Regions from separate parts of the Mus musculus genome. Here regions 1, 2, 3, 5, 6 and 7 are each reported to be linked to region 4. The links are microRNA targets in miRTarBase. Many come from high-throughput screens and were not tested one by one. Region 4 holds a microRNA gene; each other region holds the end of a gene's coding sequence. Distances are between the middles of the regions.
Evidence for each region. The annotated mature microRNA mmu-miR-3473c reads UCUCUCCAGCCCCCAUAAUAAG and lies in region 4 at 1,530-1,551, shown strand. An mRNA with a match to its seed (bases 2 to 7 or 8) in the 3' UTR can be bound and repressed. Matches are read on the target gene's strand: a 7mer-m8 pairs with bases 2 to 8, a 7mer-A1 pairs with bases 2 to 7 and ends in A, and an 8mer does both.

Region 1 (4,115 bases), not on the chromosome of region 4:
AAGCTGGCTTCAGACTCTCTAAATACCTCAGGCTGGCCTCTAACTTCTGCTCCTCTGGCTCCCAGATGCTGGGATTCCTGCCACGCCCAACCTTGGCCTTCTTTATTTTCTGTGCTCCATTGCTTATTTTACTTATTCCACCCATGTTTTTGTGTTTCAATGAGGTGGCCCGAGACACAGATGGGACAGGAAATTATCTGCTTCTCACCCATAAACACGTAGCCCAGCTGTCTCCATACTGCAGCTACCGAAACCGCAGGACTCCAGCCCAGCCACCCACGTGGGTGCTGTACCACAGCTTCTCCATCTCGAAAGACAACTGCCTTTGCATTGTCTCTGAGATCCAGCCTGAGATGTGAGTTTCCCTCACTCATACAGGGCCCTTCTTCTCCCAGGGCCAGGAACCAAACTGGGGAGTGAGATGTAGGAAGAGGGTTGGTGGAAGCAGGGCGGGGAGTGAGGGGCAGGGGAAGGCACAGATGATCCCATCCTGACTTTCTCTGTCAGGCTGGTGGAGCTCGCCCCTCCATACTTCCTGAGTAACTTGCCCCCCAGTGAGAGCAGAGACCTCTTGAACCAGCTGAGAGAAGGAACAGCAGAGCCACCAGCAGCAGCGACTGAAACTTCCTCTCCCCAGGAGTATGGAGATGGCTGTGTTCTGCAGTGAGCTAACTGCCTAAGGAATGGAGCCAAACCTCATCAGAGAGCGCCAAGGCAGTCAGACTTAGAGACCCAAAGTGTAGGGTCAGATATACTCCTGGAACCCAAGAGCCAAGAACTGTTAGGAGTGGGGGAAGAGAGCGCCACAGTTCAGAACAAGCATACTTTTCTTCTCTGTCCATGGACATGGGAGCAGATGCCACTCACCCCACCCATGCGGCGCCTCACACAACCTTGTCTCCTTGGTGAGACTATAAAAGACTTTGGTGGGGGGTGGAGAGATGGCTCAGGGGTTAAGAGCACTCACTGACTGCTCTTCCAGAGGTCATGAGTTCAATTCCCAGCAACCACATGGTGGCTCATGACCATCTGTAATTGGATCCAGTACCCTCTTCTGGTGTGTCAGCTACAGTGTGCTCATATACATTAAATAAATAAATCTTTTTTTTTTTTTTTTTTTTTTTTGGTTTTACGAGACAGGGTTTCTCTGTGTAGCCCTGGCTGTCCTGGAACTCACTCTGTAGACCAGGTTAGCCTCGAACTCAGAAATTCACCTGCCTCTGCCTCCCAAGTGCTGGGATTAAAGGCATGTGCCACCATGCCCATCTAAATAAATCTTTTTTTTAAAAAATGATTTTTCTATGATGCCAAGTTTGATTTTTAGTTCTGTAGTGCCATATACAACATCCATGAGTCAGAGGTGACACAAAAGGAAAGGCCGACTTCTGCAGGTGCAGCCTCCTGCCTGCCTCCGCCCAAGCCTCTGTGCTGCTATATCTGTCCCTAGCACAGAGCATCCGTGACCTGGCTACCACAGGTCTGTGTCCCGTCACAGTGTTCTAGCCTCTGCCAGGAACAAGAGGGGGACAGTGGAGTGAGGCGAAATCTCCCTGTTAAGCCAGAGAGCTTTGTAACCATCCTCCACTTAACCAAAAGCCTGCGCCCTCTGACTCACCTACAGTCTGCAGTCTCTCTAATTTTTCATTATAGTTTGTGTGTGTGTGTGTACACCCACAACACATGTGCAGTGGTCAGAGGATAGTTTGTAGAAATCAGTTTTCTTCCACAAACTTGCCCCTAGGGCTCAAACTCAGATTGTCAGGATTACTGCAAGTGCCATCTCCTAAGAACATTCCAACTTAAAGCCGCCATCCTTCACTTCTCCCTAACTCTTTCCCTTCTGCCCTTAGTCTACTCGAATTTCTGAATCCACCACCATCCTGCACATCATAAATGTGTTTGTAGAATACTGTGGAAAGAAAGGCTCAATCCATGTAACTCCCCAGAGTTCCCTGTGCCTTCCCGCCTTTACCAGGAGATCTTAGACCCAAAATTTCATCTGTCTCCACCCCCTGTGATGTCATGGAGATTCCCCCAAAGGCAGGCATTAGCATTTTTTTCTCTCTCTCTAAATCTAACATTAGTTTTGCCTACTGTTAATCTTGCCCCCAGTTTCCCCTTCCTGGCCTACACATCTCCAGTCTTAAGGTCATCTTTGGTTCTTCTTAGGTTTGCTAGTCCCAAAGCATGTCTCTTGCTCACTCTAACACTGGGCCCATGAATTCTCCACCGGCTCCCCATCTTGGCTCTCTGACCCTGCATGGCACGGGAGTCAGGTTCTCTTTCTAGAGTGTATCTTCTGGGTATATAAGAATCTATCTTACCTATAGCATAAGTGCGTTAAAACTCAAGATGGAGAGTCCGCAGATTGGGCAGGAGACAACTGGAGACTGAGGCTAGAAGGAATCCTTAGTTATTGTTTTACAGATGAGGGACGAGGTCCCTGTCACAGTAGGCCACATTCTCTACTGCCAGCGCCTCTTCCATTACCCCTCCCCCGCTGTCCTTTGATATCTGCCTTTACACCAGCTCTGTGGTCCCTTCCCAGCAGGACCTGAGCTCTGAGCCCACTCAGGGCAAAGTCGCAGCCTTGCAGGGTCCCTGCTTCATCCACAATCCTGCAGGTTGCTCTTGCAACCCACATCTCAGCGGGGTTTTTTTTTTTAAACAAAACAAAACAAAACCTTGAAGGGCGGAGTCAGAGTGTGGGCCAGGGGCCACTGATGACCAAAGAGCCTCAGAGGACGGCCGCGGGCCGCGGGCCTTCTGCTCCTCACTCTTCGCTGGCGGTACGGCACCCGGCCACGTTGGCGCTCGTCGGGCAGGTGTCGGTCACACCACCGAGGCGAGCCCGGACACCGAAGCCACCTTGTTGTCTTCCGCCCAGGGCTGCAGATTCTGCAGCGCGAAGAGCGACGAGTTGTGCAGGCAAAGCGGGTCCGGTGGCAGCGGTGGCCGCAGCGGCCGGGGCAGCGCGTCTTGCTGCAGGTGCAGCAGCAGGCGACCAGCGCGGTGCCGCTCGGCCTCGCGCTCCTCCGCGGTCTGGCGCCTGGGCGAGCGGAGAGCCGGGGTCAGCGGGCGTCCCGGTCCTACCCCGCCACTCGGCCCGCCCGCGCCCCGCGCCTCACCGCCACTTGGTGCGTCGGTTCTGGAACCAGGTCTTGACCTGCGCGTCCGTCATGCGCAGGGCCTTGGCCAGCGCCGCCCTCTCTGCGGAGGCCAGGTACTTCTGGCGCAAGAAGCGGCGCTCCAGCTCCAGCACCTGCGAGCGGGAAAAGGAGGTGCGCGGCTTCTTGCGCTTCGGGGGGGTCCGGTTTTGGTAGGGATGGCCTATGCGACGTGTCCCAGAGAAGGGCGAGAGCGCAGCTACGGGACGGAAGAGCAGGGCAATGTTTGGGGGTAGTCCGAGGTGAGACTGAGAAGAGAGTCCCTAGTCCTTATCGGGGTTCCTCCCCCAACCACAGAAGCCTCATCAAGAAAGGGCTTAGGAAGAATCGGGGTCCTCCCAAACTTCACCCTGCCCCTCCTCGCCGTAGGCACGGTGGGACTGCAGAGGCAGGGGTGCATGCACCCGACGACAGCAGCTCTCTCCTTACTGCCTCTCTGCTGTGGGACCGAGAACTGTGGGGTCGGGGAGGGTCCACGCGGATGAACAGAGGGGAGAGATAACCGGGCAATGGGGTTGGAGCAGAAAATGGAGAAGCAAAGAAATGGGGTCGCGGGGGAAGGACACCGAGGGGTAGGGCAATCTCACCCGTGAGCCTGTCCTTTGCAAAGCGGCGGCCGCTGTCCATCCAGGGGAAGGTGAGTCCCGCTAGGCCCCCGGCGCCACCCAAACCAGAGGGTCCGGGCACGGCGGGGGCCGCACCCGAGGGTGGCGGCACGGGCAGCGGGCGGTGCGCGGGGACGCGGATCACGCCGCCGGGGCCCACTCCCGAGCCTCTAGGCAAGGAGGCCAGCGAGCCGGCTGGAGCATAGCCCGAGGCTCCGTGGAATCCACTGGAAAACGCCGCACTTTCTCCGTGGCTCTGGCCCGACTGACCGGGACCCAGACCGCCCCCCGGGGGTTCGGGACCGCTCAGGATCTGATCGATGCCGAAGCTGATGGGTTCGTG
Region 2 (4,115 bases), not on the chromosome of region 4:
CTCTGCTCTTCTATGACATTCGTGCCCAGAAGTTCCTAGAGGAAAGGGCCTCAGCCAGTCCAGACTCTTTTCTTGGGCGCACAGGGAGGAAGCTCAAACTCACGTGTGGCAGAGGCTGGCTCAACCAAGATGAACTCTGGGTAAACTACTTTGGAGGTACTGAGGAATTCCCCAACGCACTCTACACTCACTGCTACAACTGGCCTGAGATGAAGCTCTTTGTGGGTGGAGGCCCACTCCCTTCAGGCCTCCATGGCAACTATGCAGGCCTCTGGAGCTAAAGTCACTGTGCTCTTGGGAAAGTGTATAGATTTATCTTTTAAGTTCAAACTTACATTCTTTGCATATGTGCTTTTGTGTAATATAGGTATGTGCATGCCTGATTGTGTGTGTGTGTGAGTGATTTATTTTCAAAGTGGAGTTGACCCAACTTTCTAGTGCTCAATCACAGAAGGAAACGAAAAAGGAGAGAGAGAGGAGGAAGAGGAACAGAAGGAAGAGACAGAGAGAGACAGAGATAGAGACAGAGAGAGAGAGAGAGAGAGAGAGAGAGAGAGAGAGAGATTTCTATATCCTCTTAGCAATAAAAACTTGCTTTGACTTGGGCACTTTCTCTCAGAGCACTACATTTTTGCTGTATCATACAAAAAAGTTTTAATCTTTTTTTTTTTGCAGTGATTTATGTATTTTCTTTCTTTAGGCGAATGTAGTCATTGCTTTCAGTGAATTCAGCACTAGAGTTTTACCAGCGTTCCAATAATTTTTTTCAAGTCATTTGAATAGTCCATGGACATACCATCTTGATAGAAGATGTTTTAAAATGTTTGTTGGCCTGATCTCAGAAAATATTTAAAGCTCTAATCAAAGTTTCTTTCTTTCTTTCTTTTTTTTTTTTTTAATGTACTTCAAGTTTTAGATTATAACTGTTTGGAGTGTCTTTCATTTGAATGTAGGAAAACTCAGTAGTGGATTTGAACATTGTGGGAGTATAAAATGGTTTAAGATGTATTATTTTATTTTTGGAATTATACAATATTGTTCAAACTACTAATCAACAAAATTTTAATTCAGAAAACATGAGCATAACCACACTTAGCCCTAAAGCCTTCTTTTTTAAAGTACTGTATTGTGACCTGCTTTCCTGAGAACCATTTATGTTAAAGATGTTCAGCGCTAATGAAATCTGACATAAATTTTCAGGATAATTGGAAAGGTATTTGGGGAATTAACATTTCCTGAACATTCAAGAAACACAGTCCAATTAGCCATTTGCAATGGTCAGAGTGAGTGCAGTTGATACTTGTATTGGGTACATATATAGTTATTTTATGTGGATCACTTTTTAGTATGTGATGTATTGTAAAAAAAATAAAAAAAAATAAAAATGTGTTCAGCATCATAATAATTAAATTAAGTTTAAAATGATTAAATGTGATTTTATATTTACTTGTCCTTCTACAAAGGTATGTATCCAAATCAAAATTTTCCAGGAGAGGAACCTTGGCTTCATCTATGCACACTTCATTTTGCACATTTGCTTTTTTTTTTTAAAGGAACATTTATAGATTAAAAGATAAATGATACTAGACATAGAGATAATAAATAGTTCAGACTTAAGAGCTTGTTCTATCATGTTCTTCCTGGGTTGCTGAGTTCTGTAAGTAGCATCCATATCTGAAAGTACATAACTGCTTTAACTCCAGCTTCAGGAGATCTATTACCCTCATCAGGCCCATGCAGACCACTGAGCACGTATGACAGACAAAATGAGACACACAAACATACACATGGACCATGTTTTTAAAAACTTCTGGATTCCTGGCCTCTGGCCATAGTTTACCACAAGGATACTTTGTATGTGTATGTACCACTTAGATTTTATGCATACCTAAGGATACCTGTGTATATGTGATTTACATATAAATGATAGAATGAACTCAAATATGTCTACAATTTTGTTAAAAAAATCATACATCTATAACTAATTTGTTTTTATTGTATATTATGCCATTATGTGGTTGGAATGTTTTAATTTTAAATAAGCATTATTGATATGATAAGTATTTAGCTGTATATATAATTTCACTCATCAAAGGATATGTACAATGAATTTCCTGAAATTAAATTTTTGGGGTAAATCACCTTTTGATGATAATTTACCTATGGAGGTCTACCTGAACATTTTCCACGTTTTATCATCAAATTATTGTATTCATCAGTTCTTGATACTTTCAGGGAGAATATGGCTAACTTCATGAGATTTGTAGTTATTGTAAAACCTACCTTCTAAAACAATGATTTAGAACATGAGGAATTAAGGGGAAGCAATAAAAATACTATCAGACAAATAAAAGCTTCACAATGCATACATGGAATTGAGTTACACAAGAGTACCTGTAATTATTTCAGTTTCCTTGTCTATGATATCATGATTTCAGTTATTTAAAATGAGTCATATGGTATTGAATGGACTCCAAGAACGATTTGGAGGTGAAAAAACTAAAAATGGACACAAAATTTGTGGCAACAAGTAAATGTAGAGGAATTAGCATAGAAGATACAAGTGAAAGCTGACAGAGTAAGCTAAGAATATTGAATTTGAGAAATATATTAGGATAATACATCCAGTGAAGAAGTGACTAACAGGATAAGATGTGATTTCTCAGTGTTAGGCAGAGATTACTGTGAAATGCTGGTAATTTATTATTTTTGGAGAAAAACAACACAAGTATATAGGAAGGATGTTAGAAAGGAATTGGGATGGAAGGTATGTAAGAAAAATGTAAGTGCCCTGTTTCACAAAAATGTTATGACATCCATCATGACTTCAAAAAGATATTTTTTTTCAATAGCTGTATGATAATTTTGTGTCTTGCTCACAGTTTTAAAGGAGAGTCTGCCTCCTAGTTAAACTCCCTAGATACTATTCCATATCTCTTTGAATGGCTCAGACTGGTCCAGAGCTGATACCTTATCGTCTTGAAGAATGTAAAATTGACTTAGATCTCAAAACAGGAATTCAACTTTCGTATTTCTCAGCCAACTAATAATATCATTGACTATTATACTTAATACTCACCACACCATCATCTCTAAAAACATAAAAACCATAGCAGCTTCCCAGTTGGATCATTACCTCACCACCTGCTTTGGTCTCCACATGCTGTGCTACCCTACCCTTTGCCTTGTTTTGCACACATTCACATGATTAATCTATATTCATTTCAAACATCAGTGCCACAAGACTGCCATTTTTCATAGCTATAAGAATAAATGAGCTATTATTAAAATGGTTATTTCCTCAGAATTACTATTTTCCTTAAAAATAAAATAAAATTATAACTTTATTTATGATGAAAAACATTAAATATAATCTATCAGCACATTAAAAGGAAATGTTACCACTTAAAAATAAAGTTAGTCTCTAATGTAAGTGTTTTTAACTCTGGAAAGCTGAAAGATTGGTCCGGAAAAGGGGCATGATTAATATTTACAAATGAGATATTTTAAGGTTATATGGATAAGACGATGAAGTCCAAAGGAAAAAGTTAAAGGAGTAGAAGGTATTAGAAAGTTACTATAATTATATATATATATATATGTATGTATATATATATATATATATATAAAGAGAGAGAGAGATGGAGTTTAATTTTTAATTATCAGTTCTAAACTCCATTATATCTTTTGTGATAAAATTTCTGGTGTCTATTTTTAAGGATGTTAATTAAAAGTGTTTATATTGGAAAAGTCCATGTTAGCACTATAATAATTAAGAAGGCAATTATCATACCAAAATTCTGACAGTGTACTAATAACCAGAAATTAGAGAGTATCTCTGACAGATAAAACAGAAATATGAACACAAACCTAAGATACAGTTGTAAGACCTTGGTGATAGCAGCCAGCATTCACAGACAATTCAATTCAAATGTTCAACTCTATACTTCCACATTGAAAGCAGGTCTGGCTTTTTAAAAATCAGGCACCAATAATAAAGTGTATATGTTCACTTGGCTAGTTAGGCTCTCTCTCATAATGAGGAATATTATACAGGTAACAAATACTAGAGCTATATTTTTGTTGTACTTGGAAGTTTAAATTGTACTAAATGT
Region 3 (4,103 bases), not on the chromosome of region 4:
TGGGTGGCCTGTGTGAGGTCATCTTAATCAAGTTGACTGATGCTGGAAGACCTTACTTGTGGGTGGGATCATGCCCTGAGCAGCAGCACTCATCTGTTTCCTGACTGTGGATGCCATGTGACCATCCCCATCACTTTCCTGCTGACCTCTCCACTGTAACACCAGGCCTTGCGTTGTGAGCTAAAATGACACCCTTCGTAAACAGGTTTGTCTTACTTCTCTGAGGTCTCAATGTAGCCTTGAACTCCTAAGCCTCCTCTCTCCCCTCCCAAGTGCTGGGGCTACAAAAGAGCACCATCATGCCAGGAGTATTTCGAATACTCCTAGAAGAGTAAACCTTACCCACTTTGGGCCTGGCACCAATTCTTCTTTTGTTGTTGTTGTTGTTTTGGGGGGGGGGGGCAGGGTTTCTCTGTGTAGTCCTGGCTGTCCTGGAACTCACTCTGTAGACCAGGCTGGCCTCGAACGCAGAAATCTGCCTGCCTCTGCTTCCCAAGTACTGGAATTAAAGGCGTGTGCCACCACTGCCTGGCTCTTCTGTATTTCTAACAGTATTTTTAGAATTATCACTCTAAATCCACTGACTGATGCCTTGTGACTGTCAGCATAGACTTGAGATGGACAGAGGAAAAGCAGAGCAACATGTTTCTATTTATTTGATTTTTGTGGTGTTGGGGTGTATGTACACTTGGGGTCTCATGCAAAGTGTACCACTGAGCCACGTCCCCAGCCCTAAGACTTCTTAAGGCTGACAGGCAAGCCAGGCATGGTGGTGGACATCTGTAATCCCAGCACCTTGGACATTATTGCAGGAGGATTTCAAGTTTGAGGTCAGTCTAGGCTATCTGGAGACACCGATTAATTAGCAAGTGAAACCCTGGCAGTCTCACATCAGAGCCCAGTATCCTTTGGAAAGCTTGCTGATTCAGTCAGGCTGCACTCTAGAGTTCTCCTTCAGCTGTGCCCAAGTACCAATGTCACTAAGAACACTGGCTTCAGAGATAGCCATGGGAATTCTGACTTTGCAGGTGCTCTCTTCTGAACAGGCAGGGTCTCTCTCTTTCACCTGATGTGGGTGGGCTCAGTTAGTACTCAGCGGAATAAGGCAGCTCCGACCCTACATGGATCAGAGTTCCAGTTTCTCCTTTTACTTTGAGAACAAGTAAACCAGGTTGGCCCAGGATGACCTAGCCCTCCTGCCTCTAACTTTGAAATGGTGGGATTAGTGTGTGCCACCATGCCTGGCTTCTGTGACTCTTGACAAGTTAATATTCATGACAGAAGCCATGCTCAAGTACAACTAAACCACAAGTTATAAAAAAACAAATATGAATCTATAAACCATTTACAGGGAATTGCATTTGCTTATCTTATTTTCTGGCTTATATGATTTACAGACTCGGCTGGAGGTAGCTTGGTGGTGAAGAGCAAGAAGTGCTCTCAGAGGCCCCAGGGTTGGCTCCCAGCAATCCTGTCAGGTGCTTCACAACCAATTACACATGGAGTAAGGACAACTTGTGCATGGCATAGAATCAGAGGTGAGCACATGGCAAAGCTATTTTTAATTATTTATTGATTGATTCTATGTATGTGAGTACACTGTAGCTGTACAGATGGTTGTGAGCCTTCATGTGGTTGTAGGGGATTGAATTTTAGGACCTCCGCTCACTCTGGTCAACTCAGCTCGCTCAGTCCCTGCTTGCTCCAGCCCAAAGCTTCATTTATTATTATACATAAGTTCACTGTAGCTGACTTCAGACACACCAGAAGAGGGCGTCAGATCTCACTACAGGTGGTTGTGAGCCACCATGTGGTTGCTGGGATTCGAACTCAGGACCTTCAGAAGAGCAGCCAGTGCTCTTACCCATTGAGCTATCTCACCAGCCCCCCCCCCCCCCGCCTTTTTTTTTTTTTTTGCTTTTTGAGATGGGATGTCTTCATGTAGCCCTGGCTGTCCTGGAACTCACTCTGTAGACCAGGCTGGCCTTGAACTCAGAAATCCACCTGCCTCTGCCTCCCAAGTGCTGGGATTAAAGGTGTGTTACCACTGCTTGGCAGCCAGTCTAGTGTTATTTTGAGTTCCTGGACAGCCAGGGTTACAGTGAACAAACAAACCCAAAACGTTTGTCTATTGTCAATCAGCCTATAAAGATTTTCTGATTTTCAGCCGAGCAGTGGTGGCACACCCCTTTAATCCCAGCACTTGGGAGGCAGAGGCAGGCAGATTTCTGAGTGCGAGGCTAGCCTGGTCTACAAAGTGAGTTCCAGGACAGCCAAGGCTATACAGAAAAACCCTGTCTGGAAAAACCAAAAAAAATTTTGATTTTCTTTTTTCTTCTTTTTGTTTTTTTGAGACAGGGTTTTACTTTGTAGACCAGGCTGGCCTTGAATTTAGAAATCCACCTGACTCTGCCTCCCAAGTCCTGAGATTAAAGGCTTGTGCCACCAAGCCTGGCCTAAGTGCTGGGATTAAAGATATGTACCACCACCGCTTGGCTTTTCTTCTTTTAAAAAATGATTTATTTATTTATTTATGTATATGGGTATTTTGCCTCCATGTACATTTGCACACCAGAAGAAGGCATCAGAATCCATTACAGATGGTTGTGATCCACCAAATGGATGCTGGGAATTGAACTCAGGACCTCTGGAAGTGCTCTTAAACACTGAGACATCTCTCCAGTCCCTAGAAAGATTTTCTAATACTTTTGTTTACTTTTTTGGGGGGAGGGTTTGAGACAGGGCCTCACTATGTAGCTCTTGCTGCCCTGGAACTCACTAAGCAGATGAGGTTGATCTTGAACACAGAGAGATTAGTCTGCTATTATTCCTGAGTGCTGGGATTGAAGGTGTGGGTAGTGTTTGTGGATGGCAGAGAACAACTCTTGGGAAACTGGCCCTCTCCTTCCCACTTCACATGGACTCCAGGGATCAACTCTCTAAGACAACAGGCTTATAGAGCTTGCACATATTTATCCACTGAACTCGCTCACTGGCCTCAATACTTTTTTTTTAAAAAGAGAGACATTTTCATTATTTGGTAATAAGATTTTATAATTTAAACCAATCTTTACCATATCCTTGTCACAGTTCATCTGAGACACCACGCTGGAACAGGGAATTTCTCAACTCCCGAGAAAGGAGAAGAGATGGTAGAAGATGAAAGATGAAGAAATGGCAGTAGGCACAATGCAGTATGCTGGCTTGGTGCCCTGAGTGCTCCATGATACAGATGACTGGGAACAGCTTCAGACTGATATACATTCTCCTTAGATCCACTCATCAGAGATGTTTTGCAGCTTCTTCATTTTTTCAAAAAAAGATTTATTTCATATATGTGAGTACACTGTCACTATCTCCAGACACACCAGAAGAGGGCATCAGATAACATTACAGATGGTTGTAAGCCACCATGTGGTTGGCAGGAATTGAACTCAGGAACTCTGAAAGAGCAGTCAGTGCTCTTAATTGCTGAGCCATCTCTCCAGCCCCTGGTTTTGCTTCTTTGATTGAAAGAAAAACTATTCAAAATGCATTGTAAAAAATTAGACACAAATACGTTTACTTAAAATCAGCTCAATTTCATGTTTAAAAAAACTTTCACAACATCCCTCCAGTGATGTCTGCAACCTAGAAGTGATTCTGTGGAACCCGCAGCACACTAAGGAGTGATGGTCTGTGATGGTCCAGGGACTCATATTTCTCTCTGGACACTGAGTGAGATGGGTACTAACAAATCTTTCTTCCCTGGACGAACAGGAAGATTCATATTAAAAAAAATATATATCCATCAAGTTAGGTGTGGTGGCCACACCTTTACTCCCAGCACTTTGGGAGGTGGATCTCTGAGTTCGCGGCCAGCCTGGTCCATATATCCAGTTCAGAACAGCCAGCAAGACTGTCAGAAGAGTTCCAGCACTTCGATGGAGTACAGTCCTCTACTGCTCTTCTCCCGATTTAATCTCTGCAGCTCCCGGAAGCTGACTGCGATCTTGTTGAGCTCGGAATAGATGGAGATCTGAAGACGACAAGGACCCAGAGTAACTGTGCTGGAACTCCACATACATCACACCTTCCAATCACTACTAGTGGTTTTTCCAAAA
Region 4 (4,115 bases):
CTGGAAAGGAAGAAGAAGATGGCAGCTGCTGACTCTGCCATGTCCACTGAACCCCCTCTCTGGACACTGCCACTTCCATTTCATGAGTGGATCATTCTATGTGAAATGTTTGTGTTAAAATTCAGTCAACACGCTACAAATCCGATGTCTCGTTTCCAAGACATATTCTCTTTTTTGTACCGCAAGGCTCTCACCAGTCACACGGACAAGTCAGCTTGGCTGGAAGCGCAGGTGCGGCAGCTGCTACAAATAGTTAACCAGCAGCCAAGTCGACTTGATCTGAGGTCTTTGGTGGATGCGGTTGACAGCGTGAAACAGAGGATCACCCAGCTGGAAGCCAGTGACCAGAGATTAGGTACGTGTGTGTGTGTGTGTGTGTGTGTGTGTGTGTGTGTGTGTATGAAGCAGTCGGGTTCCCTCTCATGGCTTCCCTGTCTGTGTGCATTTGTGGTAGAAGCTAACAAGTCACAACCAGCTTTCTGGGTTGCCCAGTGGCTGAATCCTGTTTGTGAAGCAGCATGAGATTCTAGCTGCCTCAGAAAATGAGGGTCTCCACCATGTGTGTGGAGTCAGACGAGACTGAAATGGCCCAGGCAGTCCCAAGAGCTGGGAGTGGTAATCATTAAGAACAAGGGAGAGAGGTGATGGGTGTCTTAGGCTTTGGTGCACTGGGGCCAGTGAGATTGCTTAGCAGGTGATTTGCTATGCAATCGAGATGACCAGTGTATCAGTGGCTTCTCTGTTGCTGTGACAAAGCACCATGACCAAGGTAACTTGTAGGAGGAAGTGTTATTTGGGCTTATGATTGCAGAGAAATAAGAATTTACCACCATCTCATAGAGAAACAGCAGGCAGGCAGGCATGGCACTGGAGCAGCTGCTGAAACCCCAAGCCCAGTGACACACCTCCTCCAACAAGACCACACCTCCTCCAACTAGACCACACTTCCTCCAACAAGACCACACCTCCTCCAACAAGACCACACCTCCTCCAGCAAGACCACACCTCCTCCAACAAGACCACACCTCCAACAAGACCACACCTCCTCCAATAAGACCACACCTCCTAATCCTCCCCAAACAACCCACCAACTGGGGACCAAGTATTCCAATGCTTAGGACTTAGGACACACAACTCATTGAAACTATAACACCCAGAGTTTGATCTCTGGAACCCACACAGTGGAGAGAAAGAACCAACTATTGAAAGTTGTTCTATGACCTTCACATGTATACTATGGTGTACATGCCTTCACTTACACACACACACACACACACACACACACGCACGCACGCACGCACGCACGCACGCACGCACCACCAACAGTAACAACAATAACAATAATAATAAGACTTTATAAAGATATTTATTTATTTGTTTTATGTATGTGAGTACACTGTTGCTCTCTTCAGACACACCAGAAGAGGGAATCAGATCTGATTACAGATGGTTGTGAGCCACCATGTGGTTCCTGGGATTTGAACTCAGGGCCTCTAGAAGAGCAGTCAGTGCTCTTAACTGCTGAGCCATCTCTCCAGCCCCCATAATAAGTCTTTTAAATGTAAAATTCATTATAGGAGTTGGGGAGATGGCTCAGTAGATAACACACTTGCTGCACACATGACCTAGAATTTGGATCCTTGTAGCCATGTGATTGCTGAGTGGACTGGAGGGCTACCTGTGGTCCTAGCACTCTGGAGGCTGACACAGGATCTCCAGGACAAGCTAGCCAGAATATCAGGGTTTAATTCAGTGAGAGAACTACATCAAAAGACTGAAATACTACTGGGGAAGACACTCAGTATCAACCTCTGGCCTCTGTATGCCACAAGCACCTCACAGCCAAACACATGCAAGTATGCACAGACACTTACATCACAAGCACACTCGTGTGCATGCATGCACACACACACAAACACACACAGTTAGACGGGCACAAGGCTCAGCATGAGAATTCACTCGAGGTGAATGTCCAATGTGTCTTATACTCAGGCAAGCTGAGAGTGAAGAGGGAGGATACATCCATGTCTGCTTGGCGTCAGCTTACCACGATTGAGTTAATGTTAGCAATGCATGTAGTAGTTCACAGGTAGTGCTCAGATGACAGGCCCGAGCTGCAGCCTCCTGTCCTGTGTTTCCTTCCAGTTCTTTTAGAGGGGGAGACCAGCAAGCACGACGCACACATTAATATCCACAAAGCACAGCTGAATAAGAACGAAGAGCGGTTTAAGCAGCTGGAGGGCGCCTGCTACAGTGGCAAGCTCATCTGGAAGGTGACAGATTACAGGGTGAAGAAGAGGGAGGCCGTGGAGGGGCACACAGTGTCCGTCTTCAGCCAGCCTTTCTACACCAGCCGCTGCGGCTACCGGCTCTGTGCCAGGGCGTACCTGAACGGGGACGGGTCGGGGAAGGGAACGCACCTGTCCCTGTACTTTGTGGTGATGCGCGGTGAGTTTGACTCGCTGCTGCAGTGGCCGTTCAGGCAGAGGGTGACCCTGATGCTTTTGGACCAGAGCGGCAAGAAGAACCATATTGTGGAGACCTTCAAAGCTGACCCCAACAGCAGCAGCTTCAAAAGGCCAGATGGCGAGATGAACATTGCCTCTGGCTGTCCCCGCTTTGTGTCGCACTCTACTCTGGAGAACTCCAAGAACACCTACATTAAAGACGACACACTGTTCTTGAAAGTGGCCGTGGATTTAACTGACTTGGAGGATCTGTAGTGTTACCTGATAAGGAAACTTCTCAGCACAGGAAAAGGTGTGGCTGTCCCTTGGGCGCAGCCCTCTGGACTGAGCAGGCTCTTGTTCTTGTCTTCCTGCCTCCGATGTCTGATGTGTCATCTTTTTATCTTGGATCCTTCCCTGGTTTGAAACTTTAAACTCTTGAAATATTGCTGTTATTTATATTTTTGTATCTTCCAAAAAATTATAATAATTTGACAACAAGGCCTGGGGCTCCTCTCTCTCACTGAAGTCTGGGAAGTGTTTTCAGGGAGTCCAGTGCTCAACGGGACTGATACAGGGGCAGAATTCCCACTGACACTCGTTGTCATTTATCAGCTGACTCAGTGCTTCCACACCTGAGCCTAGGCCTGCAGCAGCCATCTTGTAAGAGACAGGCAGGCTGTGCCAGTCAAGTGTGGGCAGTGTAGCTACATATGCTGCATTTGGACCACAGATCTTCAGGGAGATGCCAACCGCTTGGAAATCGCATCGCCCTTTTGTGTTTTATACAGGATCCACTAGCTGCATGTAAGCACAGTTTGCCAAGTTGTATAACAGCTAGGAAATGGGTCGGCTCTTCGTCCTTCTCCACTAACACAATGGGTGCCAAGGAGTGGATGTTTAGTGAACCGAAAGTTCAGAGTTCATTAGGTTTGACCAGGTGAGAAGTATTTTCTTAGGTAAAATTGTCAACTATACCAGTTCACACAACTCAGCCAGGTGACCTTTGCATGGCAGTGGGTGTGAGGATGAGCAAATTTGTTATGACAGAGAAAAATATGAGAAAAGGACAAAAGGGGAACCTGTTCACCATGGATAGCAGCTGTCTGAACCCTTCTGTTCTTCTGGAAGAACTTTTAAATTCATATGCTGACCAAAAAATGAGCATTTGTAGAAACTTGCGGAGTTTCCTGTCAACATTTTGAGTGCTCTGAGAGCAGAAATGACCGGGTTCTTGTAGATCTGTCTTTGCAGTGGTTCTCAACCTGTGAGTTACGACCCCTTTGGGGGTCAAATGATCCTTTCTCGGGGGTTGCCTGAGACCATCAGAAATCACAGATATTTGCATTACCATTCATAACAGTAGCAGAATTACAGTTATGAAGTAGCAACAAAAATTATCTTATGGTTAGGGGTCACCACAACATGAGGGGCTGCGTTAAAGGGTCACAGCCTTGGGAAGGTTGAGACCCGCTGGTCTTTTGGGTCTGTCTGTCCCTTCAGCTCAGTAAGCCTCAGACTGATCTGCCCTCCTGCCCTGACTGAAAATGGGATCCGTGCCATCCTCCACTGCTCATGTAACATTGGCTCCTAAGCACGGAAGGACAAGTGTCCTGGGACAAGGGTCACGTTAGAGGCACAGGGGAGGCTATGCTCTTGTAGATGGCG
Region 5 (4,115 bases), 19 Mb from region 4:
GCCACACGACTGTTTGTCCTTTAACAAGGCACATCGTGGCGCTAACTCATGGCATGGATGCAGATGCCGTGCACACACTAAGAAGAAGGTCCTGTTCTTAACAAACATCTCCTCTTCCAGGGTTTTAGGACATAAGAAGGGGTGATTGGGCTCAGGACATTCAGTGTTCAGAGGCTTCAGGCTGGGTGCCAGGTGTGCCAAGACTCTAAACGCTGAAGGGCTAATTCTCTGATCTCCTCATCAGGGAAGAAGAAGGATGCTTGCACTGACGGGGTGCTTCCAGAGACAGAGAATGCCCTCGTATAGAGGATGTCATGAGGGACAACATAAACTGGTGCTTGGACCATGATGAGATGCCCTGCTCAGCCACGTGATGCTCCACACCTGGACACCTCCAGGATCCTCATAACTGCCACAAGTCGGCCTGCCTCTAGCGGACAGCCAAGAAAACCACCATCCTGGAACGTCACCCTGGCCCAAACTTCCTCCTTCCTCCATCCTGTTCGCACATGCCGGATCCTCTCTGGGCAAGGTGAACTAGTAGGATGCTTCCTTCAGAACACAGGACTTTCTCTAGGATCCACAGAGACATTGATTATCCAAGGCATCCATTCTTCTATCACTGTACATAAGGTCTTGCCCAACAGCCACCAAGGGACGGCCTCCAGGCCAGGACCTTGGCTCAAAGAGAGATGAGATGTTTGAACTAACATGGAAATTGAGCTAACCATTGCCAACTCCAACTCCAGCCCCTGGGGTCTGAGTTCCTTGTGTTCAAGATGTTATTATAAGAAAAGGCAAAGAACAGGAAATGATGGAGGGTGGGGCATTCTCTTTCTGGTCTGAAGGACTTTAAGATTATCTGAGTTCAAGGGCCATCAAAAGTAAATTGAGATTACAGATGATGAGGGGTTGGTAGCTAATGTGCCATGTTGGGATCAAAGCCATTTTTCTGGTAGCACTATATTAATAGACACCTTTGTTGCCATTAATTCTTGTGTCTCCTGCATATCTGGGGTGGTGTTTCAAGCTTTTTCCATACATTCTACATAGTTGTCAGAAAAAACAAAAACAAAGAGTTTGACCCAGCCAGTAGGAAATTCTTCCACAACTTCAAGAGAAACAGCTAAGTTCAGAATAAGTCTGTCTTCCTAAAACTGGGAGAATGAAGAGCCATAAAAAGCTACACAAGGGACTGGAGAGATGGCTTAGCAGTTCAGAGCACTGACCGCTCCTCCAGAGGTCCTGAGTTCAACTCCCAGCAACCACATGGTGGCTCACAACCATCTGTAATGGGATTCAATGCCCTCTTCTGATGTGACTGAGGACAGCTACAGTGTACTCATATACAGAAAATAAATAAACCTTTTTTTAAAAAAAAGCTACACGGGAGGAACTATAGAGAGGATGAATACTGAGACATTTTAGAATCTGCTATATTTATTCAGATGCAAGCGGAGATAATCCACCCATATCCAAGGGGAGAGACAAAGTCCCTACCACTCAATTGTAGTATCATCAAAGGTCACTTTGACATATACCATAGAGAATATATGGCCACATTGGAAGATGTGTCCTGTACTGAATGGTTTTGTCCTGAAAGCATCTAGGCTGTTTACTGCTACATGGAAAAAAACAAAACAAAACAAAACAAAACAACCTAAATGAGTTGAACTTTCCCTCAGGGAGTAGTAGGTTCATGCTTACTCCCATCCAAATGTAATGGGTTTTGTCCTGGGTCCCCATCCAGACCTTTGTAATAGAAAGGAGGCTTTGAAGAAGCAGGGGTAGTTGTGAATATGTTTCGTAGGTGGCTTAGTCTCTCCACCCAGGAAGTCAACCCTGCCCTGGTACTTTTCCTCTTCTCCCCAATGCCAAGACAGGTAGTCACTTCACCTGGGACAAATGGAATCCACTGGCTTGTATGTTCACATTACACACCTCCTCTCTACTTACCCAGGATTCTCCTTGCTGGCTTTTCTCAGAGGTCCCTGGCTTTACATAATTCTTACTCTATCCCATGCTCACTTTTCTTCTATCCCCTTCCCAACATCCTCCTGTGGCATGCACATGCCCAGTCCACCCAGCCATTTGTGCTGCCCTTCCCTGCCACCTATAGGCATTTTCTCACCAAATCATGGAAAACCACCATCGTGTGAAAAGGATGGAGTGGTGGGCCATGGTCGTTCTGGGGTGATAAAATGCTTGCTATCACCCACTTCCCCTCCCTCTATCCCCACAGCCTCACCTCGGATCAGAGCACAGTTCTCCTCTTCATGAGGTGACTCTTGAAGACGGTGGTATTGCAGTGGGTTTTACCAGGGCCTCCTGGAACAGGTCCCATGCTATTCAAACAAACACCGCAATGACTCACTTGTCAACTAGCAGACTTATTACCCTTCCTCTGGAAAACACAAAGTACATCTGGGAGACCAGTCTTATTCTAAGAGGCATTGGGAAAGATGCTTTAAAAGTTACACCATCCCAAGTATGAACTGCGGGTGCAGCGTCTGCTGGGAACTCCTTAAGGCACTAAGGAGTCAGTTTTGGATGAAGCAAAGCCTTTGCCTACACGGAGTCTATGCTCAATGGCATATAAATAAGCTGATAAGTCCATGCTAGATGCTGACAGGTTCTGTTTCAAAAATCAGGCAGGCTAGCTTTGTGGTACCAGCTTAGAAACCCAGCTACTTGGGAGGCTGAGATGGGAGGATGGTAATTCAAGGCCTGCTTGGACTGCAGAAGTTCAAGGCTAGCCCGGCTGGCTTAGTCAGAAACTTGTCTCAAAAAAGGGGGTTAGGGGAAGAGAGGTGCTGGGGGAAATGGCTCAGTGGTAGAGTGTTTCCTGGCTCTGGGTTCAGTCCCTGGAACAAAAAAAAAAAAAAAGGAAGGAGGGAAGGAAGGAAGGAAGGAAGGAAGGAAGGAAGGAAGGAAGGAAGGAAGGAAGGAAGGAAGGAAGGAAGGAAGGAGAGAAGGAGAGAAGGAAAGAAGGAAAAAGAAAAGAATGGAAGGAGAGAAGGGATGAAGGAAGGGAGAAGGAAGAAGGAGTGAGTAAAAGGCTAGGGACTGGTGTATTGGGGAGTACTCATTTGTTGGGGAGGACTCATGCACTGGCACAGAGTGCTCCGCCAGCACCTAGCCAAGCTTGCAGAGCCCTTAAGTGGGAGCACACAGCCAATAGAGACCACATGGCTGTATGCAAACAGGGGAGGATCCCATGGTCTACAGAAGAAGAGCCTCCTCTCCTTGGACTTTGGGTGGCAGAGGGGGCCCTGGCAAGTCAAGAAGTCAGTCTCTCTGGGGGATTTTTCAGTATGCACATGAGCAGGCCAGAAGCCTTTCCAGACTGTTCTTTCTCTTCCTCGCTCTCATGTTCTTTGTCTTCAGTAATAGCATTTTCCTTTCTAGAAAGGATGAATGCAAGATGGGCTAAGACCAAGAGGTCACGTGACAGAAGGTTAGAATACAGCTGAGCGTGGTGGCTTACACCTATAATCATAGTGCTCGAGAGGCTGAAGCAGGAGAACTGCTGTGACTTTAAGACCAGCCTAGGTTACCTAGAGAGTACCAAGCAAACCCGGGCTACAGAGTGAGGCCCTGTAGGAATCTGTTTAAAGAGAGCTTCATTTCCTTTATGGATATAAATACTCAGTGCTTTGAGGGGAGCTGGGGCAATTATCAGCGACATCTCCAGCAAGCCTTTCTTCCATATTTATAACATAGTGCCTGCTTGGAACAGGCCCCTCTTGGTTACTTACTGATCTCTCGGGGAGACAACCGTCCCTTTCCAGACTTGACCCTCTGGCTCTCTGTTTCTGTTCTGCCTGCAGCCTGATAGAGGAGCCTACAAAATTTCAGAATACAACCTCCCCAGGTCTGTGAAAGTTTCAGTGTCTGTCTCTCCTTTGGGCTATGTGTTGGTGATAGTCAGTCGCCAGGAGTGGCATGCTGAGCATATGAGTGGGTAGTGGGGATATTCTACTGCATGGCTATCTCCCATTCTAGAATCTATACTTTTAAGGAGACACAATAAACTTCGCACACCCAGAAGAGAATGGCCAGAATGGTGAGAAGCCTGGAAGCCCTTATGGCACGAGAAATGACTAAAGAAAACT
Region 6 (4,115 bases), not on the chromosome of region 4:
GCCAAGACTCTGGGCCTGGTGCTGGCTGTGCTGCTCATATGCTGGTTCCCTGCACTGGCTCTCATGGGCCACAGCCTGGTCACCACGCTGAGTGACCAGGTCAAGGAGGCCTTCGCCTTCTGTTCCATGCTGTGCCTTGTTAACTCTATGGTCAATCCTATCATTTACGCCCTGCGGAGTGGAGAGATTCGCTCTGCTGCCCAGCACTGCCTGATAGGCTGGAAGAAGTATCTACAGGGCCTCGGACCTGAGGGGAAAGAAGAAGGCCCAAGGTCCTCGGTTACAGAAACAGAGGCTGATGTGAAAACCACCTAGGAGCCAGGATCCAGAACTCCAGGCTGCTCCAACTGCTGACACCACCTGTCTTTCTACTGGAAACAGCCCGAGTCAGAAGTCCGTTCAGTTCACTCCCTCGAAGAGAGAGGGGTTCCAGACCCGGATTCTTTCTGAAGCCAGTTCTAGGGTAATGGAAACAGATCCCCCTTTTTGCTAAGGAATGCTGGTTGGCTGGAAGGTGGCCTGGTCATGCCTACCTTTTCCAGTCTGTGGAGAGGGGCCTGTAAGAATGGCAGGCTCTGTTCATATCAAATCAGGAAAGCCTTCTGACTCCAAAGACCTAGAGGCCAGAGGGGCCTCCAGAGATGATACTAAAGGATTCAGGAGATCTGTGAAGACAAGGGACCTGTTCTCCTGGAATCTAGAGTACCCCAGCCGTGGGGCCACTGCCCTCAACTTCATAGATGTCCATGTCTTCCATAGTGTGGATTCTAGACTGTCCTGCTGAAGATAGAGAGACCAGCTGCTTCTGGTTCCTGCTTCATCCTCTGTGGCTGTAGAGCTATGTGAGGCTCTACCTTCAGGTCACCCTTGCCTCTTGGGGGTCAAGAATTATGATGCCCTAAGGACCAAGGATGTTCGCTTACATCCTTCAGACAGCGTCAGGAGCTGTCAGCTCAGGGTATCCTGTTGTTGGGAAAGGGCCCTCCCGACATCCTGATAAGCCTTGAAAGCCATTATGACCTTAGGTCCTTAGGGGCGCAGAGGAAGCTGGGTTCACTGGAGGTACAAAGTCTTCAGAGAACTCTATTCCTTGTGACATTTTGCTGTGTCTCACACAGCACTATCCCAGTCTTGCCTAGCTTCAGTACAAAGCAAGATATTCACACAGATTCTTTGGGTCCTAGGCTGTTCCCAGTGATGCTTGACTCAGCCCCACTGGCCTCTTCCACACTCTGGTCCTGAAGGATAAGCAGAAGGAGTTGGGAGGGAAGACTTCCTGCTGCAAACCAGGCATCCTAGGTCCACAGCCCCACGCTGTGTCTCTGGGTGCCTGCCTTTGCCCTTCAGTAAAGGTTGCAGTCCCAACAGATGGAGGTTCAAGGCGCTGCTGGTGGTAGGAGGGGTAGGTGGCACTGGGGACCACAGACACAGTGAAAGGAAAACTCTTAAACATTTAATACTTTTGCTTTTAGAAGATCCGGCCCGCAGACAGGACTTCCCCATTGCCCAAAGGAACTAACAGGGTGGTGTCCAGTGCAAAGAAAAATCAGCCTCCCTAATAAAGCAAGGAGGTCCACTCGGCTCTACAGCCTCTCCTAAGCTTCTGCAAGGTGACAGTTTGTTTTCTCTGTGAAGGTCAACGGCGTCTCATTTTATTCTTCCCAAGACAAGTTCTGTGCATCAAAAGCTGCTGCAAATTCTAATCGCTGTTTGGGAGGATCAGGGGAAGAAGTCGATTCGCCCACGCTTAGTGATTTAGACTGTATTTCAACATCAACTTGGGGGAGGAAGAGACAGAAAAGACACGGTGTTTCCTTATTACTCCTCAAAGGAGGAAGTGCTTGGTTCTGTCAACATAAGCCGATCTCTCCAAGGTGCCTGACAGAGGAGGAGGGAATACAGTTTCCACAGCTGTGAATTCCTGCACCAGCTTTGGTCCACACTTATGTGGTCTTGATCAACCCCCGCCCTTTACCTTGCTTTGGTTTCCTTCTCGGTAAATTGGGAATGGTGGGGAAAACAATGCTCTCCAGGGCCATTAAAACCTCTCATTGCTCTAACATGCTGTGGTTATCTCTGCAACCATGGAGACCTTTGTGCCATATGGACCATGTGACTTCTGGCTCCCATACTTCCTGAAGTTATGGGCACACACCATATACCATTGGGCGTGTGCTGACTGTAGAGGAATTGGGTGACTGGCCATATGAGTTTTAGAGATTTTCCCAGGGCAAGAGGGTTCTCTTGGCTCTCAATTTTTCTGGTCCCTCATGCCTCAGTGGTCCCCTGTGTGTGGGTCAGGCATGCTTGTTTAGCGGTGCCAGACTGAAGCTCCGGCCTTCCGGTGTACCAAGCAAGTGTTGTACTCCTGAGTCAGGTTTTCTTCAGTTAGATGCTAACTAAGCTCTCTGAGAGACCCTCAAAGTTTTTGAGGTGTAGCTCAGTCAGTAGAGTGCTGCATCTGCAAGAGCAAATCTCTGGGTTCAAAGGTCAGTACTACCTAAAACCAGGAATGGCAGTGCCATCCCCTACCTGTAATCCCAGCACTCCTGAGGTACAAGCAGGAAGATCAGGAATGCAAAGTTACTGTAGCTGTAAGTTCGAAGCCAGCCTGAGCTAGTTGAGACCCCCTTACCTCAAAATAAATTTAAGTTACAATTCTAAATTAAATTAAAATGTCTAGGGCTGGAGAGATGGCTTAGTGGTTAAGAGCACAGACTGCTTTTCCAGAGGTCCTGAGTTCAATTCCCAGCAACCACATGGTGGCTCACAACCATCTGTAATGGAATCTGATGCCCTCTTCTGGTATGTTTGAAGAGAGCGATGGTGTACTCATATACATAAAATAAGTAAATAAATCTTTTTTTAAAAAAATGTTTAAGTTCCTCGGAGTTCTTGTTAAGTTCAACGGACAAAAGATAGACTAAAATAACCACGTCTGCCCTTAATCTTTCAGCAGCCATTTCTCTCCCTCCGCATAAAGCTCCTTCTAACCTTGTTATTTCTCAATCTCTTCGGCAACTCTCCAATCTGCTAAACTCCACCTGCTGGCTGGAGGTATAGCACAGAGAACCCGCGGCTCCTAAATAGTCACTAAATAAAACGACCTGGCTTCAGCCTTCCCCTGAAGATTGGTGCAACAACGTGGACTTCTCCCAGTTTTCCCCACACCTTGGGTCTTTCTCACTTGCGGGGAATCCGGCAATTAAATCCTTAGGCGAGTCTACGGAATTTAAATTCAATAGAGCAGAACCAGCAACGCCGCCTTAAGTCTTTCTCCCTTCCAATGCCAGAGGGCGCTCCAGAGCCGCAAGCCTGACCCCACCCCCTCTCCTTCCAAGCCAATCGTTACTCTGAGAGGCGGGGCTACTCGCCGGCGCTTGCGTGTTAAGAGGGGGGCGGTGCGGGCCCGGAAGCAAGGATGTAGGAGCTGAACTTGAGTGGTGGGCTGTGGACTCTGGGATGCTGCTGCTGCTGCTGCTGCTGCTAGTGGCTGCGGCCCAGGCAGTGGCCCTGGCTCCGCGCCGCTTCACTCCGGACTGGCAGAGCTTGGACTCGCGGCCACTGCCGAGCTGGTTCGATGAGGCCAAGTTCGGGGTGTTCGTGCACTGGGGGGTGTTCTCGGTGCCCGCCTGGGGCAGTGAATGGTTCTGGTGGCACTGGCAGGGCGATCGGATGCCGGCCTACCAGCGCTTCATGACAGAAAACTACCCGCCCGGCTTCAGCTACGCCGACTTCGCACCGCAGTTCACAGCGCGCTTCTTCCACCCGGATCAGTGGGCCGAACTCTTTCAGGCTGCCGGGGCCAAGTGAGTGCGGGACGGGCGCGAGGCGGGAGCAGGCAGGCCATAGCCGGCGCTGCCTGACCTCGGAAGGTCCAGGACCCTACGTTCTGCATCTCGGAGGAAGGACGCTAAAGACGAGAATCCAGCTGAGGATCAGTTAAAAAAATAAATAAATAAAATAAAATAAAATAAAATTAAGGCGGGAAAGCACTGGGTGGTACACCTGTGCGGAGAGAGACTAGAATCAGGCTACATCGGTGTCTCGTTTGAAAGGTCCAGAACACAGCCCAGATTCCCGTCGGTGGCCCTGAGTTGTAGATCTGACCAGTC
Region 7 (4,115 bases), not on the chromosome of region 4:
CTAAGGTTGGTCAGCTTACTCATAATTTGTCTGAGATGATGTGCCAACTACAAATTATTATCTTAAAAACCCATGTACTTTCCCCTGGTAGCTTTACACTACCAAGGTTTTGGAAAACAGATCTAGGAATAACATAATTTTTTTTACCTCTTAATCGAGGTTACATAGAATTATAGTAGTGTTTAAATAGTCACTTTCTTTTATTAAAAAAAGGGGGGGGAGGCATATATTATGATACTCATGTCAAGCAACAAATTTGTATTATGATGTATACTTAAGAAAGTGCATTGATACTAATTTGTTATGTAATGTGTGTGTGTGTGTGTGTGTGTGTGTGTGTGTGTTGTAAGCTAAAGGTCAACACTGTCTTCCTTTGTTGCCTTTCACCTTACTGAGAGCTCCTCTTGGTGAAATGGAAGCTTGCTGTTTTGGCTAACCTGGCTGGCCCGCCTGAACCAGAGACTTACCTCCTTCTGAATCCTCAGCACGGCAGCACTGATTCACAGACACGCAACAGTGCTTGCCTTCTCCTATACAAGGGTGCTAAGGATTGACATTTAGGTCCTCATGCTTGAACAGCTAGCATTTTAACCTACGAACCAACTCCTTCCTCTGTCTAATTTTAAACAATTTAACATGTTTTAATGGTATTACTATCTATACTTTACAATATTGAGGTAAAAGACTTAAGGACGCTAGTTTTTTAAGTTCCTGGGCTTTGGAACTATCCCCATACTCCTGGTTATCACACAGCTCTGAGGTCCTCTAGATACTTTTTTTTTTTTTTTTTGGTTTTTTCGAGACAGGGTTTCTCTGTGTAGCCCGGGCTGTCCTGGAACTCACTCTGTAGACCAGGCTGGCCTCGAACTCAGAAATCTGCCTGCCTCTGCCTCCCAAGTGCTGGGATTAAAGGCGTGCGCCACCACGCCTGGCTAGATACTGACTTTTAACCTCCAACGGTGTTAATTCAGTTGTGCTAAGACAATATTACATATTGCAAACCAATGGCAAATTAAGATGTAGCTTAATGCTCTACATTCTGAGGTACAGAGGACATGGATAATGGGCTTCTGCCTATCCTGGAGGTGGCTGCTAAACTTGGAGATAGCAGCAGAGATATTAATTGGGTAGCTATTTGTCAGAAATTTTACCAAGTACGCGACGAAAAAGAATAGTTATTTTAAGTTGCACTCACCCTATGATTAATACCCTCTAAATATTCTATGGTTCTGGAGTTCAAAGCCAGCTGCATGTTGAATAGATCAGTGGCTACCAATACCAGGTTAGCACAAATATAAGTTACATGTTGCATAGAAAAAAGCTTGTTTAATGGGAACGAAGTCAACTATTAAAGAAAGTGGAAAGCAAAGCTTCTCACAGAGATGTTTTGGTTTGGGTGGACACTGACCTTGGGCTTCAACCATGCTAACCCAGTGTAAATCATAATACTAGAAAGGATCACAGCTTGCGTTTAATGAAATAGAAAAGATGGTTAGTCTAGTTAATTTTCTTTAGTAGCTTTAAGGGGTATATTAGTAATTTTAGCCTAATAAATCCACACCATATTTGAAAGTACATTAATCTTTCTTTGCGTTTTTTTGTTTGTTTGTTTGTTTTGTTTTGTTTTTTTGGAGACAGGGTTTGTGTAATCTTGGCTCTCCTGGAACTCACTCTCCAGACCAGGATGACCTCAAACTCCAATCTACCTGCTGATTGCCACCATGCCTGGCTATGTTTTTATTTACTTACCAGACAGGGTCTTTCTACATAGCTCTGGCTGTCCTCAAAGTGTGTAGACCAGGCTGCTTCCTGAGTGCTTGGAATTAAAGGAAGGCACCACCACCCCGGCTCTGGTAAGGGTTTTGTGATACAAAAGTAAATGAAAATACACTCTACCACTGTGTTACGTGTCCAGTCCTTTTCACAAATCCTCTTCCATCTAGTCTTCACAACTCTGATAGACACTATCACAAACCATATAAATCAAATAGAAACAAGCTTCTTATGTAGCAGTAGTGAAGTAAAGCCAAGAAAAATGAGGTCAAACACTTTTATTCCCAATCTGCTTTGGACATAAGAAAAACGTATTACAAAATAAACATTCTGTGGTCTTATTAAACTATCTTCAACATCAGTTTATGTTATAGAAACACTTTTAGCAGAGTATAAAAAATGAGTATCTGAGCTTAAACTACATTTTAAAACAGGGCTATATCAACACTTCCAAAAATCAGTCTAATTTTCAAAGAAACTGCACTTGACATATTCATATATCCAAACATTTAAATGCGCTTAGATAGTGATCAGTTACAAATAGTCAGAATGAATTTTGCTAAGGTAAAAGGGAAGCTGGTGTTTTTATCATGTCACTGCTGGCAAACACTGCCATCTGGTGGTCACTTCTTGCTGAAGACGATCTTCTATTCGAGATCTGCTCAGGGAAGCTGAAGGGACAGTGCTTGTATACTTACACTCACTTCCACTGACTGAATTAGAATGCGCTTGAGGGATGAATCACACCAGAGTGTTGTTCTAGAGACTTGTTAACACTGAGGTAGGAACACATCCTGGAGTCATGCATTCTCTCTCTCTCTCTCTCTCTCTCTCTCTCTCTCTCTCTCTCTCTCTCTCTCCCTCCCTCCCTCCCTCCCTCCCTCCCTCCCCCCACTTCTGCTGAAACCTGGGGAAAGCTGACAACTGCAAAAATACTGGTAGGAACCTAAACTTCCTTTTCCCACGACCACAGGGCCAATGAGAACGGCACCAAAAGACCCGCTGCTGCTCGTCTACCCATTACTGATTCATCTCCACTCCAGAAGTCTAAAGAAACAGAAGACGATCAGTTTCACTCCAATGGTCAAATAACTGTGTACTGACTGTCTCAGGTGATCCTAAAGCCAACTCACCAATGTAGTAAAAGCCCAAGTGTGACCGACTGAAGGAGAAAAGAGAGAACTACAGATTGCATTAAGTTGTTCTATTATTTATTACATGTAAATCCAGAATCTGAGGCAAGTCATTTTTCTACCTGTTTAAGGCAGAGTCTGAACATCACAGTGAAATAAAAATGATGTCCATGTTTTGCAATTACTGCCAATGAAGTTTTTTTCACACGTTATTTTATATTTAAATTAGTTACCTGAAAAATTTTAAGAAACAGAGTGCTTGGCAGATTTACTATTAATCAGACCTTGGAAGCTCTGAGTCTAAAGAGGCTTTATTTCCATAATTTACTGGCTTTGGTCCAAAAAAGACCAATATACTGGCTAAAAATAAAATTATAGCATCTAAAAAAATAATACATATCAGAAATCTATTAGTCTCCCCAAAAGCTGGCTGCTTCCAAACTCGATTTAATATTCTGCATGTTTTCCCTCCGCTGCTTGGTAAACACATTGGCTTCTCCTTTCTGCAGCCGGCGTCTGGCAGCCGCCTTCTGCTGCCTTGTCAGCTGACGCTTCACCTTCTGCTTCACCAGTTCCTGCAAAGATCTTGTGAATTAGTATCACTGACAACCATCTTGATAAGGAGCAGAGAAATCATTATCAAATTATTATCCAAGATTTACACTGGTAGTATCTTTCAAATTTACATGTTAAAGATGAATTTTAAGAATCCTAAGGACACTATATGAACTAGTAGATAAAACAGGAGAAGCTGTTGAAAGTTTTTAAAATTTATATTCTTCCCAGAAATACAGATTATACAGCAAAAGTGGTCAGTTTAAATTATCAACTGCTAGAGTGCCACCTAGTGACCATTATGAACAATGAGTTGGGGGGAAAAACCCGTCTTGGTAAAACACATGATTTTGTAATTATTTGCTCGCTCCCTCCCTCCCTGAGGTAAACTCTCCTGTAGCCTGGGTGCCCTGGCTGGCCTTAAACTGGACCGTAGTCAGATGGCCTCGATCTTCTAGCCCCTGCCTGCCCTTCCAAAGGCTGGAATTACGTAGCCAGCCCTGTGGTGCTTGGGACAGAGAAGAGGCCTGGGGGCGGCAGTCACGCATAGGAAGTCCTCACAGAGTATGCAGATGCAGAGCACTGTCTCATAGTTAACAACCACAAATGCCATATGTACAAATCACATGACTGAAAACGTTTTTTTAAAAAATT

Region 1: miRTarBase lists Dqx1 as a target of mmu-miR-3473c. Seed matches in the 3' UTR shown: 8mer at 935-942.
Region 2: the mRNA of Dcaf12l2 is a reported target of mmu-miR-3473c. Seed matches in the 3' UTR shown: 7mer-A1 at 466-472.
Region 3: miRTarBase lists Nol11 as a target of mmu-miR-3473c. Seed matches in the 3' UTR shown: 8mer at 3,480-3,487.
Region 5: the mRNA of Slamf8 is a reported target of mmu-miR-3473c. Seed matches in the 3' UTR shown: 8mer at 1,197-1,204.
Region 6: miRTarBase lists Cnr2 as a target of mmu-miR-3473c. Seed matches in the 3' UTR shown: 7mer-m8 at 547-553 and 8mer at 2,687-2,694.
Region 7: miRTarBase lists Riok2 as a target of mmu-miR-3473c. Seed matches in the 3' UTR shown: 7mer-A1 at 2,628-2,634.

The regions. Positions count from the first base shown.
Region 1 is chr6:83,065,926-83,070,040 of GRCm38, forward strand. It overlaps Dqx1 (DEAQ RNA-dependent ATPase), which reads left to right. Exons shown (of 12, transcript NM_033606.3): 11 at 165-355; 12 at 508-1,294. The coding sequence ends at 667. It overlaps Tlx2 (T cell leukemia, homeobox 2), which reads right to left. Exons shown (of 3, transcript NM_009392.2): 1 at 3,755-4,115; 2 at 3,129-3,366; 3 at 2,400-3,049. The coding sequence ends at 2,833. Among named protein-coding and RNA genes, the nearest start is that of Tlx2, 2.2 kb to the right of the region's middle.
Region 2 is chrX:44,362,767-44,366,881 of GRCm38, reverse strand. It overlaps Dcaf12l2 (DDB1 and CUL4 associated factor 12-like 2), which reads left to right. Exons shown (of 1, transcript NM_175539.3): 1 at 1-1,425. The coding sequence ends at 281. Among named protein-coding and RNA genes, the nearest start is that of Dcaf12l2, 3.5 kb to the left of the region's middle.
Region 3 is chr11:107,163,624-107,167,726 of GRCm38, forward strand. Nol11 (nucleolar protein 11) reads right to left here. Exons shown (of 18, transcript NM_133702.3): 18 at 3,028-4,018. The coding sequence ends at 3,902. Gm11715 (predicted gene 11715) reads left to right here. Exons shown (of 3, transcript NR_169178.1): 2 at 1,398-1,538; 3 at 3,091-3,502. Among named protein-coding and RNA genes, the nearest start is that of Gm11715, 8.3 kb to the left of the region's middle.
Region 4 is chr1:191,996,038-192,000,152 of GRCm38, reverse strand. It overlaps Mir3473c (microRNA 3473c), which reads left to right and starts at 1,519; the gene lies at 1,519-1,599. Traf5 (TNF receptor-associated factor 5) reads left to right here. Exons shown (of 14, transcript NM_011633.2): 13 at 185-355; 14 at 2,146-2,950. The coding sequence ends at 2,723.
Region 5 is chr1:172,578,635-172,582,749 of GRCm38, reverse strand. It overlaps Slamf8 (SLAM family member 8), which reads left to right. Exons shown (of 5, transcript NM_029084.3): 5 at 245-1,373. The coding sequence ends at 306. Among named protein-coding and RNA genes, the nearest start is that of Slamf8, 9.9 kb to the left of the region's middle.
Region 6 is chr4:135,917,342-135,921,456 of GRCm38, forward strand. Cnr2 (cannabinoid receptor 2 (macrophage)) reads left to right here. Exons shown (of 2, transcript NM_009924.4): 2 at 1-2,878. The coding sequence ends at 315. It overlaps Fuca1 (fucosidase, alpha-L- 1, tissue), which reads left to right and starts at 3,385. Exons shown (of 8, transcript NM_024243.4): 1 at 3,385-3,809. The coding sequence starts at 3,463.
Region 7 is chr17:17,392,821-17,396,935 of GRCm38, reverse strand. It overlaps Riok2 (RIO kinase 2), which reads right to left. Exons shown (of 10, transcript NM_025934.2): 10 at 2,037-3,481. The coding sequence ends at 3,317. It overlaps Gm26873 (a long non-coding RNA gene), which reads left to right and starts at 243. Exons shown (of 2, transcript XR_003952270.1): 1 at 243-1,853; 2 at 2,747-3,087.